Linked DNA regions of Rattus norvegicus. The protein of the gene in region 1 interacts with the protein of each later gene in a pairwise test. Links are inferred from orthologs where the notes say so. Each region holds a gene or a part of one and is shown in the gene's direction. Other genes may lie near its edges.

Region 1 (3,500 bases):
GCTCTGAAAAAAAGAACCAAAAAAAAAAAAAAAAAAGAAAAAAAAAAGAATTATTCCTAATAAAGTAACAAAAAATAGGTTTGGGTTTTGGGTTGTTTGGGGTTTAGGGTTATTCTGGGTTTTGGGTTGTCTGGGTGTTTGGGTTTGGATTTAGAAGTTTGGAGGGGGAATTTGAGTTTGGAGGTTTGGGGTTGGGTTTGGGTTGGGTTGAGTTCGGTTGTGTTTGGTTTGGTGACAATGTTGCTTTGCTCTCACTCCAGCCAAAGCTGGCCTTCACCGCCTAGTCTTTGTCTTTCACCTTCCAAGTGCTCAGATTGCTTGTGGGTACCAGCAGACCTCACAGAACTCCTATTAATTACATACGCATCAATAAACAGAACCAGGGGAAGGGCTATAGCTTAGTTGGTAGATGCTTGCCTAACATGGATGAACTCTGGGTTTGATTCTCAGCACTAAAAAAACAGGGCATTGGCGGTATAGAGTCCAAGGTATGGTCTGTAGAGTCCAAGGTATGGTCCATAGAGTCCAAGGTATGTTCCATAGAGTCCAAGGTATGTTCCATAGAGTCCAAGGTATGGTCCATAGAGTCCAAGGTATGGTCCATAGAGTCCAAGGTATGGTCTATAGAGTCCAAGGTATGGTCTATAGAGTCCAAGGTATGGTCTATAGGGTCCAAGGTATGGTCTATAGGGTCCAAGGTATGATCCATAGAGTCCAAGGTATGGTCTATAGAGTCCAAGGTATGGTCCGTAGGGTCCAAGGTATGGTCCATAGAGTCCAAGGTATGGTCCATAGAGTCCAAGGTATGGTCCATAGAGTCCAAGGTATGATCCATAGAGTCCAAGGTATGGTCTATAGAGTCCAAGGTGTACACATACTCAGGAGATGGAGGCAGGAGGGTTATAAGTTCAAGATCACAGACTGTAGAGTTGCCTCACGGGTTAAGGAGCCCTTGCTGTGAAATTGTAAGGACTGGAGTTCATATCCCAGCACCCTTATAGTAATGCAGACATGCCCCAAGTCTCTGTAACTCCAGATCCAATCACTCTTCTGGTTTCCATGTGTGCAAAAGCACTTGTGCACACATATATACATGTACACACTCATATACACTTGCAAATAAATCCTTTTTTTAAAGATCAGTTCAGGATCATTTTTTGAGACATAACAACTTCCAGGCCAGCCTAGGATTCATGAGACCCTGCTTAAGACTACCACTCCCAGGGCTCTGTGGCCAGAACACTTTCTCTGTAATCATGAGTACCAGAGTTATGATCCCAAGCTGGATATCTTTACCCAATACAAATACCTTTACCTAGCTCTGAGGAGAATGGAGACAGAATTGTTGAGCCTAGCCAAGAAAATGTGAGCTCCAGGCTCAAGGAGATAGTGTGCCTTAAAGAAATGGCGAAGGGTGATAGAGGAAAGGACACCCATGCTCCTGGCCTCTGTTGTTTCAGAGTTCACATACCACAAACATGCGTGCACACTCACAGACACACAAGCATGTAAACTAATAAAAATAAATCTTAATCCTCGCTGCCACAAAAGTAAAATGAGTATAATTGGAGCAGGGAATGTTAGATGAGTGTAATGATTTTGGGAATTCTTTAAAAATGTATCTTGTGCTTTCATTCCTCTTTTGCAGACAGTTCATCGTCATTGTGTATGGTGGTCAGCACCGTTGGGAAGTTGTGTAAGATGATTAATGAAGATGTCAGTGAGCAGATTAAACGAGTGTTAGGACCTGAAGACCTACAAAGGTATCTGTTAGCAGTGCGTCGGGAATGCATGAAGTGGTGAAAAGTAAGGGCCCCAAAGCTGTCCAAGTCACTTACCTTCCGTTTGCAGTGGCAGGGCCCTCAGGGCAAGTTATACATGGAGAAATTAAGTTTTTACAACCAACTCTTGAGTTGTATTATAACCTATCAGTTATTTCTAGGACACTACCAAAACTACTTAATAATTACTAGTTATATATATTTTTTGTTTAGAAGAGAAATATTAAGAATTTTTAAAAAACTGGGCACCACTAATATAGAACCTGATATTTTAAAAAGTACATAATGGGAATGTGTGTGTGTGTGTGTATTGTGTGTTTATATGTATAAGTATATATATAAACATATAAGTCATATATATATATATATATACACACACACATACACACATGTGTCATCTATATATTCTGCATGTTTTCCAGTAAAAACCCTTATACAATCTGGCAGTTGGGTTTTTCGCATTTAATTTTTTTTCACTCTTGGTCTCTCCCGTCCTTCCATTGTTTTATTGACCACTGGTACTTAATGTTCAATTGCATACTGAGTAGAGAAGTCTGTTTTTAGCAAATGTTCTAAAGATGATGTTTTTTATAAACTATGTTTGTTTTAAACAGCATTATCAACAAATTGGAAGAGCATGAGGAATTTTTTCCAGCATTTCAGGCTTTTACTAATGATCTTCTTGAAATCTTAGGTGAGATGTCTGTTGATGGTGGCCGACTCTTTCTTGGAAGGTGTTGCTGGACTTGAGAGAAGGGTGTTCCTTAGACACTGGGTTCATGTCTGTCTTTAGGTCTTTGGGAAATATTAACTGCTTTGCAGGAAGACTTGGTTAGGATTAATTCATAGAATAGAAACAGCCTGTAAGGAGACAAGAACTATCCTCTTTCCTTTTTAAAGATGTGTGTGTGTATGTGTGTGTGTGTGTGTGTGTGTGTGTGTGTGTGTGTGTATGGTACTTGCCTGTATGTATGTGTGGGCACAGTGTGCAGTCAGGTGCTAGAAGGGGTGGCCTGATCCCCTGGGTCTAGATTATACTCAGTTAGCTATTGTTGGTGCTGGGAGCTGACCCCAGGTCCTCATAAGAGCACCAGGTGCTTTTAACTGTGTGTCATCTCTTCAGCCCACTGGGACTATCTTATTTTGAAAACTTCTCATGAGAAATGGCATTATTCTGTAAGACTCTCAGTTCTATCAGTGTTTATAAAAACATGACCAAGCAAAATAAGCTAAAAAAAAAAAATGTAGACCCCGCTGCTTAGAGCCTTCCAATAGGGTTGGTATCTGGCTAAGGGAAATTAACTTGCTTCCTCAGAGAACAAGAACTTTAGAAAGTGAACCCTGGCTTGGCATCACTGAAATCTGATGTCTTAGAAGGAAACTCAATCTCAGAAACAACCTGAACTGCTTTGTCCAGAAATCCCAACCAGGATAAGCTGCGTCCCTGAGGCCTGTTCTGAGGTGTCATACACCTCTTACTTGACAAATCTCCCCAAAGAAGGGCTGAGAATACTCCGATGAGACTAAAAGAATCAAGAAGGAGCACTGTACTCATTAAGGAGAAATCAATTCCTAAATCCTCAGGTGGAGACCCAGAAATGCATGTCTTGGATGCATGTTGGGAACTATGGTGCTTACGCGTTCACTGTACAGAGATTTAAAGAGAGGTCAAGGTATCAAACAGCCAACTGGACGTGTTAATAAGTCTGAGTCTGATAA
Region 2 (4,179 bases), about 56 Mb from region 1:
CATACCGGAACACCTACTATGGAGAAAGGGAAGAGTCAAGTGTCTGGTCTCTGGGGACCCCACACCTGGCTGTCATTGCTCAGATTCCTTTCATTGCTGTGTTTCTGGCCCAAAGGCCCCAAACAGGTTCTGATCTGTTCTGAGGGGATACCTAAGGCCTGCATGTACACTTTCTTAGGGCCATGGGCACAGGTGGCTCTAAGAACTAGGGATAGAAGGGAAGACTTCACAACCTCAAAAGGCCCAGACTATGGTCCCAGCCCTGTAATGGGCTGAAACCAGTGTCCTCTTAGTGCCTAAGTTCTATCTCTGTCAGAAGGCACAGTTAGGGACTCCAGTGGCAATGGTCCCCAGAGACCAGACACTTGATTCTTCCCTCTCTCTATAGTTGGTTTTTGGTATGACTCAGAAAAGACCCACACACCTTCTCTTGGCCGGGCCCTCTGGAATAACATCCAAAACGACATAGTGGGTGAAATGTTCGCTGGACAAGCATGAAGACCTGGCTCAATCTCTCGCACCAGGTAAACACTAGATGTGGTATCCAGTGCCTGTAGTCCTACTGCCAAGAAAGACAGGCAGATCCAATGGTCAGCTCCAGTTTCAGCAAGAGCTTTTGCCTCAAAAAAAAAAAAAAGGGATAAGCAATTGAGGAATATGTTGGACAGATAGACAGACACGTGCACAAGCATGAGTATACACACACACACACACACACACACACACACACACACACACACACCTTGGGGGAGAGAGGGGGAGGAGGAGGGTGGAACGGAGGGAGGGAGTGAGGGAGAGAGAGAGAGAGAGAGAGAGAGAGAGAGAGCGCGAGCGCAAGCGAGGGCCTTGAGAGCGCCAGACTGAGGATTGTAGGGAGGCTTAAATAAGCTCAGACATGCAAAATACCTAAGGCATCAGCTGCAAATTGGTTAGAATCAGTTGTGCAAACAAGACCCGGGCCACAGCTTTCCTCAGAATGTGCTGTCCTAGGGTGGAGACGTGCTTTTGATATCCAGCCCGCAAATTACAAGGCGATTTGGCTTGTGTGACCCAATTAAGAAGCTTTCTGTCCCGTGGACCTCTGTGGACACCTCACCTTCTGGCCCCAGGGGCACTGACCTCCTCAAAGCCTGCCCACCTGTGAAGACAGAGGCTCTGCCTTTCTGCCTGAAGTGCATCTGACGGAAGCAGCCTAACTGGTTGTCAGTGGTGGGAAGTAATAAAACTGGGAGAGAGAGAGAAAAAAGACACGAGAGAGAGAAAAAAAACCACATTTCTTTAAAATCCCGGGCTAGGGATGAATGTGCAGGCGTGGCCCAGGTAATTAGCTACTCTGCCCCGCCTGTGCTCCGCCTATGGCTCCTCCTCCTGCCCCACCTCTCCCACAGGTGTGTCCCTGGGCTCTTGCTGCTAGCCCCACTCCGTGCCTGAGACACCCACTGAAGTCACCAGCCACAAGACCCCAACCAGCAGAAACAGGCTAGCAAGTGACCTGCCATGGAAGGTGCCGATGCCTCCAGGAGCAATGGGGCCAGCCCGGAAGCCAGGGACGCTCGCAGCCCACCGGGTCCCAACGGCAGCCTAGAGAATGGCACTAAAGCAGACAGTAAGGACACCAAGACAACCAACGGGCACAGTGGGGAGGTGACAGAGGGCAAGACCCTGGGCAGTGCCCTGAAGTCAGGGGAGGGGAAGAGTGGCCTATTTTCCAGCAACGAGTGGCGCAGGCCTATTATTCAATTCGTGGAGTCAGTAGACGACAAAGGCTCCAGTTACTTCAGCATGGACTCTGCGGAAGGCAGGAGGTCCCCTTATGCGGGGCTCCAGTTGGGGGCTTCCAAGAAACCTCCTGTGACCTTTGCTGAGAAGGGGGAGCTGCGAAAGTCCATCTTCTCCGAGCCCCGCAAACCCACGGTGACTATCGTGGAGCCGGGGGAGGCCCGCAGGAACAGCTACCCCAGAGCTGACTCCAGCCTCCTGCTGCGGTCTAAGTCGGGCTCTGAGGAGGTGCTGTGCGACTCCTGCATCGGCAACAAGCAGAAGGCTGTCAAGTCCTGCCTGGTGTGCCAGGCTTCCTTCTGTGACCTGCATCTGAAGCCCCACCTGGAGGGCGCTGCCTTCCGTGACCATCAGTTACTCGAGCCCATCCGGGATTTCGAGGCCCGAAAATGTCCCCTGCACGGCAAGACCATGGAGCTCTTCTGCCAGACCGACCAGACCTGCATCTGCTATCTCTGTATGTTCCAGGAGCACAAGAACCATAGCACTGTGACGGTGGAGGAGGCCAAGGCCGAGAAAGAGGTGACTTCCTAGTCCCCTCGCTGCCTTCCCTTACCCTTCCCACCTTGACCCTCACTGGGGACTTAAGTCTTCACGGTGCTCTGCTTTTAGAAGACAGTTCTTCCTCCTCTTCACCTCCGCCAGGGGCTCAGAGGTCATTCTCTAACTTCCAACGATCTTATGAGAGGTCATCCCCTAGCAAACAGATTAGACGCTAGGCTAAGCTCACGTGGTGAATCTTAGGTCAGGCCAGAATGTAAAACTGAAGGATTCGGAACTCTTCTGGACTCTGCTTGGCTGATCTGTCTCTGTCCGTCTCTCCATCTGTTTCTGACTCTCTGTTTCTGACTCTGTCTCTGTTTCTGTCTGTCTCTGTGTCTCTGTCTGTCTCTGTGTCTCTGTCTGTCTGTCTCTGTGTCTCTCTCTGTCTATCTCTGTCTCTCTCTTTCTTTCTCTGTCCTCACATGTAATAACTAAGGCAGGGAGGAGACACTAAGAGGGGACTTGAGGGCTTCTGAGGACCCTTTTTGCTAGTTTCAGGTTTGGATTTGCAGTCCAGCAGCTGCTTGCTCTGCCCTAATCTGGAAGCCACTCCCGTCATCCCCACCACCCCCATCTCCATTGCTTACTCTGCTCTCAGTCGGGCCCTGCGCCCTTTGTTTTTGTGGCTCCAGCCAACAGGTCTGTGCCTGAGGGTGGACAGCATTGGAGTGAGAGCATTTGTGGGTGGGTGGATGTAAATGTGTGTTTTATACGCACGCGGGTGTCTGCGAATGTGGGTGTCTGCTCGTATTTATGTCAGTGTGTTTGTGTGAATTCCCTGTGAGTGATTAGGCGGCAGGCACATCCCCGGGGAGGAGCAGAGGCAAGTGGAGACTTGTGGATATGGTACACCTGGGGAAGGTGTTCTGGGTTAAGGCCCAGCTGTGGCCGCTGGCCTTGTCCCTTCCTGAGCTCACTCACCCAGCAGCATGTGGCTGGCCTCTCCAGGGGCAAACCTTCCTGGTGGCCAGTGCAGGGGTTTTACTTTCTTGTCAGCTTTTGTACCCCCAAGGGACCCCTCCTTACCCAGCTTCATCACCACAGGCTTGCTGGTCACTCACTCTGTGCCTCTTGTCCCTACCCTTGGGCAGCAGGTTCTGAGTCACAGGTAGGAGCAGACTCAGACATCCTCTCTAAAAGCTTCATTTGGCTCCCAAAGGTACCTTCAGCTTCTCCTGTCCCTGACCCCAGTGTCCTCTGTCACCAGGGTTCTTTGGTTCCAGGCCAGCTTTTAAAAAAGCTTTAGGATGGGAGACAGAGAGAGGGAACGTGAAGCCCATTCTTAGGGACTGTGCTTGGGAATTCAGAACAGAAGGAAGGGGACTAGGAGCCAGCCTTAGACCTGTATTAGCAGGTTGCCAGTCACGAGCTCTAAGACAGCGACTAAGTTCCCCCCATGTGACACCGAAGGATGGGCTAGACCAGGGGTTCTCAACCTGTGGGTCAGATCCCGTTGGCAATTCTCTGTCTTCAAAACTATTTACATTATGGTTCATAGCCGTAGCAAAATTACAGTTATGAAGCATCAATGAAAATAATTTTGTGGTTGGGGTGACCCCCCAACAATGTGAGGAACTGTATTAAAGGGTCACAACATTAGGAAGGTTGAGGACCAGTGGTCTGGACTGTTTTCACATTTCTCTGTGAAGCCCCAGGAGTTTTAGAAAAGTCTCTGAGGACTCTGGGGTGAGAAGGGGGACAAAGTGGGCACAGAAAGCAAAGGTTTCGGGTCCTACTTCCACTGAAAGCCTGGCGTACACTGGTCTCTTTTCTGGGCAAACTATGGCTCCACTGTGAGTGTCTGTGGAAGGGCCGCTTCCAGAGGGCAGGAAGGTGTGGGCAGCCCAGTCTGGAGCC

What was found.
Region 2: the proteins of Cep70 (region 1) and Trim29 interact in binary tests that used the Homo sapiens proteins (3 or more experiments, as listed by UniProt). The two-hybrid records come from large-scale screens. The link is inferred for Rattus norvegicus from reciprocal best matches to the Homo sapiens genes CEP70 and TRIM29.

What each region holds. Positions count from the first base shown.
Region 1 is NC_086026.1:108,738,207-108,741,706, forward strand, and holds part of Cep70 (centrosomal protein of 70 kDa), read left to right. Parts: intron 1-1,648; coding exon 1,649-1,763; intron 1,764-2,395; coding exon 2,396-2,475; intron 2,476-3,500.
Region 2 is NC_086026.1:52,577,796-52,581,974, forward strand, and holds the start of Trim29 (tripartite motif-containing protein 29), read left to right. Parts: upstream 1-1,379; 5' UTR 1,380-1,497; coding exon 1,498-2,301; intron 2,302-4,179.